Linked DNA regions of Schizosaccharomyces pombe. The gene in region 1 interacts genetically with each later gene. Each region holds a gene or a part of one and is shown in the gene's direction. Other genes may lie near its edges.

Evidence for each region.
Region 2: mutations in mdm31 (region 1) and mmb1 together harm fitness more than expected from each alone (negative genetic interaction), as found in Schizosaccharomyces pombe (one large-scale study listed by BioGRID).

The regions. Positions count from the first base shown.
Region 1 is NC_003424.3:1,935,425-1,939,989, reverse strand, and holds mdm31 (protein Mdm31), read left to right. Parts: upstream 1-1,841; 5' UTR 1,842-2,007; coding exon 2,008-3,654; intron 3,655-3,755; coding exon 3,756-3,914; 3' UTR 3,915-4,027; downstream 4,028-4,565. Other genes in the region: ste24 (putative CAAX prenyl protease), read right to left, coding at 1-915, 986-1,000; mug151 (transcriptional regulator HCNGP-like protein), read right to left, coding at 4,193-4,565. UniProt on the Schizosaccharomyces pombe protein: Involved in the organization of the mitochondrial membranes and the global structure of the mitochondria. Also required for mitochondrial distribution and mobility as well as for the maintenance of mitochondrial DNA nucleoids structures.
Region 2 is NC_003423.3:2,608,188-2,612,619, reverse strand, and holds mmb1 (mitochondrial microtubule binder Mmb1), read left to right. Parts: upstream 1-1,979; 5' UTR 1,980-2,076; coding exon 2,077-3,582; 3' UTR 3,583-3,932; downstream 3,933-4,432. Other genes in the region: SPOM_SPBC25B2.08 (uncharacterized protein), read right to left, coding at 34-411; BTB/POZ family ubiquitin-type ligase substrate adaptor Btb2, read left to right, coding at 4,250-4,312. UniProt on the Schizosaccharomyces pombe protein: Involved in the cell polarity process and in regulation of microtubule growth. Has a role in meiosis. Involved in microtubule dynamics.

The DNA.
Region 1 (4,565 bases):
AGACATGTACCAATGACCAAGTTCGTGACCAAGAATTGCAATAAGTTCCGGTTCCGTATGATTTTTCACAAGAGTATCAAAAAGTACAATTCCTTTGTTCCATGGAAGCCCATAAAAGAAAGCGTTGGAGTGAGTTGATCTACGACTAGCATCAATCACATAAAGCTTCTTCAAGGGAAAATTGATACTGGCAGCTAACTCTTCAATTTGTGTTCTAAGACTTCCATTTTCAAGCGGTGTAAACTTGTAAAACAAGGGCATAATTAGAGAAGGAGCAATAGTTTGTAAAATGAGGCCAAAAACAATATAGGCACCCCATGCATACATAATAAAATTATCACCAAACTTGGTCAAAATTTTAACGAAAACACCAACGACAACACTCATAAGTAAACCACCAAGGCTTAATTCCTTTAAAAGATCAATTACGAAGATCTTTAAAGTCGATTTATTAAAACCATACTTTTCCTCGATCACAAAGGTTGAGTAAAGATTGAAAGGAATTTGAATTAAACGAGAAAACAGAGTAAGTCCAAACATGAAAACACAGGAATGCGTAATCGAAGTCGATAGACTAAACCTTGAGGATGAAGCAGCTAATTTATCCATCCAAGGAAACTTAGTGATATTCCAAAGGTATGAAAGTCCATCATATTTAATAATCAAAAGATCAACGGCTAAAGTAAATGTGGAAACAATAGTAGAAAACCAACTTTTATCACGAGCATAAGACAATGCTTTTTGGTACTTTTTTTCATCAACGTGTTCAGCTAAAATAGCAGGAGGCTTTTCTCTCAACAAATATGGCACTTGCCTGCGACGAAGATACAAATCCCAGGCATACTTTCCAATAGAAAATCCAGCAATTACTATTTTCCAAGGGAAGCCTGGAATGTCTAAAATGTGCATCAAATGCTATAAAAACGTTAATACAAAGTTTTAAACCCCAAATATATTCATAAAAAATCAACTAATCGTTATATACCTGTAGAATTCCCATTTTACAACAATTGGCAAAACTTCTTGTAGTAGGCTTTGGTGTAGCTTGTATGACTGAAATTTCTTTTAGGAAGCAAAGGCCAGGTGACATAAATAGAGTTCAACTATCGAAGAAAAAACAAAAAGAAGTAATCAAATAGCTTTTTGCGAGAAACATATTGTAACATTCATGTTGCACGCATGCTACCTTGGTGTGCATAAGACCTAGACATTTAATACATAATTTGCGTCCATTAATTCAGTTAAAAATGGATTGTGATTCTGTAAATATTTTTAACAGGCATAACGCATATATCATAGATAACGAAAATGAAATCTCAACTTTTCTTTGTCTATTTAGCCGTTGCATCAACAACATTAAAATTGCCAGATGAAATTAACGAAAATAAAGAATTGGAATATGTAAGTAAAGATAAAATTAATTTTATCTTGAAAAGAACTCGGTGAAGTTATATTCAGAAGCTAAATACTACTATAACAGTATGCTTTTTGGCGGCTTCTTAATGCCTTGGACATGAATTGGAATTCTATTCAAACTAAGCGCAATAGTCTTAATAACTCAACCAGCATAATTAAATTTTAGTAGTTAATGCAGGCAGTTAGTATAAAATGTGTATACAGTTGTTGCTTTATAGTCAGCTAGTTAGCTAATTGTTATAATTAAGCAAAGTATGTAATAATTCGATGTCATCTCATTCGTACAAAACATCTGATTTATAAAGTGTATACTCAGAAGCATATATAATAATTTGGAATGGATCATCGTTATTTTCTATATATTTTGCCATCTTAGCTAAAGATTTTAGTGTAAACTTTGCTAGTTATTCTCCTATTTTCTTTCTGCAGACAACCATATACAGGAAAGGCATTGAAACTTTTATAATATATCATTACAGGCAGTTTATTTCTTTAAAACAGAAGCATATATAGAATAATTTGTCTTGACTGTAATTATATACACTAATTGTGCTTTTCGAGAAGGTATTATTTATTTGACCTCATAAGTTGATGCTCGAATCACGACTTGCGAAGAATATAGCAAGGATTGTTCAGGCCCGTAAGCCCTATTTAATTTCTTATCATGTTCGTGCTTCTACTCAAAATGCCTTACTCAAGCAAACCGTTTTGCAATCTAGCAGCTTCAAGAGTTTTCCTACTCTTCCTAGACTAGCAGCTAGGAATATTTCAAACAGTGGGATATTGTCCCGTACTACACCTGTAATTATTAAGCAAATATCTATGGTTAGAAGTTACTCGTCTGGAGATGTTGAAAACCCTGAGATTCTCAACAAAAATGAATCAAATCAATCTTCCGGCGTTAAAAGGGCAATGCCATTTCGCGTATTAAAAAAAATGAAAAGCTTTCTTTTTAAGCAAAACAAACCCTTAACAGTGGATAATGTTACTGCCTTTTTCAGTTGGTGGCTTGTGAGCCATATAGTTTGGATCGTAGTTGGTACAACAACTTTTTTTTCATTGTTATTGTACACCTTAAACACTGTTTCTGCACAGGAACTATTAGGAAGATGGATTGGTCAGTTAATGACAAAAAATACAGGGTTCCAATTCGTCTTTGAAAGCGCAATTGTTCCCAATTGGAGGAAAGGATTAATCACATTCAACAAAATTTCCGTAATTAGAAGACCTGATACTTTGAATGGCATTGGAGCACAAAATCCGAATAATAAGTCTGATTATGAAAAAGAGTACATGGCTTTACGAAAACGTTATGATTCTAATGAGGAACCTGACACTGAGGCTCTGAGTCAGGGAAACTATACTCAATTTGAGTTATCCATTGATAAGGCAGATGTTTCGTTTAGCTTTGCTAGGTTTTTAAATGGTAAAGGGATTGTTAAGGAACTTCAGCTGAAAGGTGTTAGAGGTGTAGTTGATAGACGGTTTATTGAATGGGATCCATCCTCCGATCCTCGTGATTACCGTCGTAAACACAACTGGGGGGATTTTGAAATCGAAAAATTTAAGCTAGAGGATTTGCGTGTTACTTTATTACAACCTAAAGGTTTTCGGAAGTTCCCCGTTAGTGTTTTCTTTTGTGAGCTTCCTAGGCTTAGAAAACAATGGTTATTTTATGATTTAATGAATGCTAAGACTCTCACCGGAAGCTTTGATAATAGTATGTTTACTATTCATCGATTACAACTTCGTCCATATTCACCGTACCTAAAAGTCGGTAAACAACTCGATGATATGCGACATAGTCGCTTGCGTATTGATAATGTCGCAATCGATCATCTAAATCGAGGTGTTTCGGGAGCATTTGGATGGATTAATGATGGCAGTGTTGATTTTTTAGTTAATATTTCTTTTCCATCAGAACCTTCGGAAAATTCTTTCCAAAAAGCGTGGATAAGTTTGATGGACAAATTGAAAAAGAAAGAAAAAGATGAGGATGTTTACAAAGACGTTCACTTTGATGTTAATGTGCAATTACATAATCCCAAAGCCGTAATTCCTATTTTTACAAATCAAGTAAGCTATATCAACAATGCTTTAATTCGACCTATTATTGCTTACATTAATTCCACACGGACATTCATCCCTATTCTTTGTCATGTATCAAAACCGCTTTCTGACTTTGATGGAAGCTGGACTTTTTACGACAGTGGTGTTTTACAAGAAATTTCGGCGCAGGTAAGTTCTACCCTGTTCCTTACTATAAAAGAGCGTCTTTTCCTAAAATTTAAGAGTAATTTACGCTTTTGAATATTAATAAATACTAATTTTTGATGTAGGTGTATGAATCGTTTGCTCGAGATGTATTAAATCAAGAGATACGAAGAAAACGAATTCAGAAAGTTGGCTACTGGAGTCTTCGGAGGTTTTTGCATTTAGTTTTGGTTTCTTTGCAGGAATTGGCTCCGACAACTTCTTCAATCAGTAATTTCGAATAGTTAAAAGTGATGCTATTTATTATTTACGGTTCTGATTCTCTTCATGAAAGGCTTTTTTGTTCTATCGGTAGTTAAAATTATTATAATAACAATTATTATTTTTGAAAATTGACTAGGGTAAACTAATGACTTAAGCTACTAGCCATATAAATGTCTTATCAAAATTGGCATTTCTGGATCATTTATTCATAACAGGCTAAGGTATTAAATTAAGTAGTCTTATATATATTCGGTAACGAAATTATTTTTACAAACACATTATCTTTTGATACTCAAATTTATTTAGGATGTTGAGAGGTTTGAAATTTAATTTCAGTTCTATCATGCTTTTGGTAATTTTCACGCCTGGCAATCATTTCATCCTGTGATTTAGAGAGTGCGGATGCATAGACGTTTTTATGAAAGTCCGTTGGATCCCACATATCCTTAGATATCATAGTTCCTCTTGGCTCCTTAATATCCAGAAAATCCTGCAAATTATCAAGTAACTTTGGGTTTCTGAAATTTTCATTTTCTGATAGTCTCGTATGAAAATGAATGCCCTTTGCCTTTAATTTTATAAATTGCTTTATCTTTTTCTCCAGCTCTGTGTCAACTTCAGCTTTAGGAGAATTTGGGATTTTCCAATGGGGTTCCTCAGAACGTCCTTTA
Region 2 (4,432 bases), on another chromosome or scaffold:
TTATTTAATTATGCTGACATGTGCACAAAATAATCACGAACATTCCCCAATTACTGGCTGTTGTTCAATAGTAGCCAAAGCCAAGGCAGAAGTAGTACTGATTAAGACAGGAGATGAAATTGATCGTACCTTTTTAACCGACCTTATCCGTTGCTTACGGAGCCTTAGAATACCAAAGAAAAGTGTATCAAATAGTTTGAAGGAGCGAGAACGCTTGACAGAAGTATGTTTCTTAATACCAGAACGGGAACGATTATGCATAGGGGTATTTAATTTTTCACTCGATATACATAACTTAGAGGGATCTTCAATGTTGACAGAAGTAGGAAGTTGCGATGGACTGCGCATATCATTTGCCTGCGCATCATTAGTGCCTTGACGGGTATAACTGGAATTTTGATGTGGAAGCATGGTAATAAATTTTAAGAAAAAGAGAAAATAAAAGTAAAATGGAAACAAATCACAATCAAAGGTGAAGTGATGGGATTAAAGGTTTTAATGAGAAAATAATTCGACAAATATGTAACAAAGGGAAACTTTTTTTTTGAATTACACGAAATGTTTTCAAACTTGAATTATGCACAAAATTAGAGAAACCTGAGAATAATAAATAAGCTTGATAATCCAAATAGCCAAGGGATTAATGGGATATAGGGTTGTAGTGATATTTCGGGTGTTTAATTTATTTAGAAATGGGTATAAAGTCCAGACTGTAAACAGAAAATAATCAGTAAACGAAATCTTTAGTGTTCCGTCCGAAAGAAGTTACCCTAACGAGATATGAAATTATGCGAACAGACGAAGTTTTAGAAGCCGACAATTGAATAAATAAAGGATCAAACTTGCTTAGTTTTATCGAAGGAAGCAAAGCAAGAGAACCGTGAGTAGGAAATAGAAAGTGAACAGTAATAAAAAAAAGTAAAACAGTAGGGAACGTTTTCTTAGAGCTTATTACAATTACGAAAAATAAAGCTTATCCCAATTGAGATAGTTAAAAAAAAAGGAACGAAATAAAACGATATGAAAGACAACAAAGGATGGAAAAACAAAAACAAACCGCTGAATGAATTAATCAAAAGAAAGCGGAAAAATTAATAAATACTCATCAATAGAGTAGCACAAGATGAAGCGAAGGGAGTAGGACAAGGCGTTAAGCCTGCGTTTAGTCTGAACAATAGATATAGACTAAAAAGTGAAAGACGGAATTTCAAAGTCTTAATTGGGGTATTCTATGTATATATACGTCCATATCTGGTAACATTTGCAAACCGTCTTTGATGTCAATTTAATAAGGAACCGAAGGTAACTTGCACACCTTGAGCAGTGACTGGGAGTAACACTCTCCTTGACATTCCCTCGGTACATAGGAGACGAATGAACCGAATGAACAAATAAACTAGATAGTTGCCCAAAAATGCACACAAAGCATTATCACTTTTATTAATTCAAATAACGACATACCAAAGTCGTAAAAGTTGGTAACAAACTCTTCAAATGATATTTCTACTATAACATTTTTCGTAGTACTTACCACTACGGGAGATTTGTAGAATCGGTATGATGCTGTGGAAGAAGAGTTATAGCGGGTTTCCTCAATGTGTACATGTTATTCTCATTGTACACTTGCATCTTAATTTTCACATTGCTCTCTCCCATCAATGATTTGCTTTGGAAAAACAACGGGAACAGAAATCTGGGAGGGAACGGAAAAGTATATTCATAGCAATCACAATTTAACGATAATTATTATGGTCAAATGAATACATATATTGAAAAGAATCGGTCAGCTGGATAGAAAATATGTAAACAGTGCAGCACTTATGAAGGTAATTTTATTTGTTTGCATCAGGTAGCAAGAGTTTTACGGGGATTAATAGAATTCGTTATATATACACTAACAATATAGGACGTAGTTTGTTATTGCTACCTAGTGTTGGGCGATACCAGCTAACGGTGTAGTGTATTTGGCTTTCTCTTTTGTGCATTCAGGGTTGTTGATTGCGAGTCTTATTCAATTTTATTCTGCCAATGCCGGGTTCACCAAGCCAAGAGCCTTTGGCAGAGGCCGAGTCTAATATGCTTCAAAGACTGGAGCAACTACAAATGCAAACATCGAATATTCTCAAGGAACTGCATTCTACGTCGATTTTCACGGATTCTACCACCTCACAACTTCATAATGGAGGTGAGAACTCTGTAATGGATACTGAGGAATCCTCGGCTATTGATAAATTAAGTGCCTCTTTACAGCAAGTAAACATTTCTTCACCATCAGTTCCTACCTCTCAATCTCGGGTTACCCAAGGCCAGTCATTAGGAAATACCCAAATATCTAATCCTACTTCAAAGACTAATAATGTACGAGCCAAAGCTCGGAATATTCGTAATCCCTCTCAACGTCTTCGACCCTCGACTAGTTTGGCCAGGTTATCAAATAACGCACCTCGCATTCCCAAAGAGGCATCACTACATGAGAATTCAATTTCTTCCAAGGAATCTCCTTCTGTAACGACCTCTAAACATGTCGCTACTATTACAAAACCTTCAACGTCGTCTATCGCCCGAATGTCCTCAAATGCTAGAATTGCTGCTATTCCGAGAGCGAAATCTTCAATGGCAGTTCGTTCACCATCACGCCTTGGTAATGGCCCGAATGTGCGCTCACCAAAGGTCGGCTTCAATGCAAAGTCGGATGATAGCCCCGTCGTCAAATCTCCTGGCTCTAACGACAAGCCTTCAGCTTCTCCTCGAATTTCTGTTCGTTCTCTCGGAAATTCTTCTGTCGTTCGTCCACCCACAAGGACTTCCACCACCCGTCCATTATCTAGAGTTAACGTAACAAATGCTTCCGGAAGTATCTCAAAGAATTCTACTAGTCCTTCCAAAGTAAAAGTCAACGCATCGACCAAGATCGTGCGTCCTGTAAGTGCAGCTCAGACTGTCCGACCGGGATCCAGAATCTTCAGAGAAAACTCTGCGTCCAATACTCAAAGACCCAACGTCTCTGCCACTTCTAACTCAACTGTTCGGGTAGCTTCTTCATTAGCTGTACGACCTGTTTCACGTAACGCGCAGGCGCGTACTCCCTCAAGATTAGAACAGAGAGAAGTTAATGTGAAAAATTCATCAGCTAAAATCGTTCGTCCAGGTACTTCTTTAGGTGTTCGTTCACCTTCTCGCATTCAATCCACTCTCTCTTCGAGGACAACTACAGGCAATGTTCGTACTAAAGCGGCTAATATCGTTCGTCCTTCTTCATCAATCAACCGTCGCCCTCCTTCGTCAATAAATCAACGCCCTCCTTCAAACTTGCGCATTTTGGCTCCATCTCGCTCGCGTGCAACAATTCATGAGAGACCAAGCAGTTCAATTTTACACAGGCATGCCCATTCACTAACTTCTTCATCCTTTTCCACTAAAACATTGGCTACAACCAAAGAAATTCAGAATTCGCCTACTTTGGTAGAGTCTTCGACAGTCGTTCATCATGATCCTTCTTATCTTCAAAACCAAACTTCCGAAATTAACGATACTAATCACTCTTCTCATTCGTCACCTTTGGACCTTAACAGAATGATATAAAAGTTGAGTGAGCTGCTGTAATTTGATGGCTTCTGTTCCATTTACACTTATTATTCTGCATAATTTATATCACATGTAGATGTTTTATCATAAGGATATTATTATTAAAAATAAGACAAACCATACGGGAAGAATTGGATGTTACGATTTGATATATTACTTTGTATTACTTAAGATCAGCTAATTAATAGCTTTTAAGCTGAAATTATGTTGCATAGGTTTATTCAGTTGAAAGCTTCACGACTGACTTGATGATAGTCGAGAAGTTTAGAGGGATGCGCTCTGTGTTAAAATTCAGCATGCAGCAACATCAGCATACAACCGATATGTAATAAATTAACATTAACAAACTGGCATTGTTTTCGTGCTCTATCAACTATCAGCAGTAAGTAATTGAAGACATTATGAAGTAAATGAGATTGCTGCATTACTAATTCATTTAGCAAAAAATTAAGTAAATAGAAGGGTTAATTTGTGCAACTTGTACGGTATATTTTGGATAGCGCAATTACGTTACGATTCATAACTGCAAGAATATCGAGCTACTCCAGTGCGCTTTCCTTAGGAAACCAAAACAATATTTTAGTACCTTTTTTTTAAATATTACTGACGAGTTTCATTCTGATTTCTTTTTATTACTCCTAACGGATGTGGCTTTAATACAATCATGTCAATGAACAGCTCAACGGAAATTTCTCAAGAGCCCTCTATAATGAAACCGGTATCTTCAGTAAGTATTTTTGCTATTTGAACTTCTGCGTACCTTGAGTCTCAGTTCTTGTATGAACTTTACTCTCAAATTAATGGTTGTTTGCGTAGTTAATTATTTTGGATTTATTGTTAAATCGTT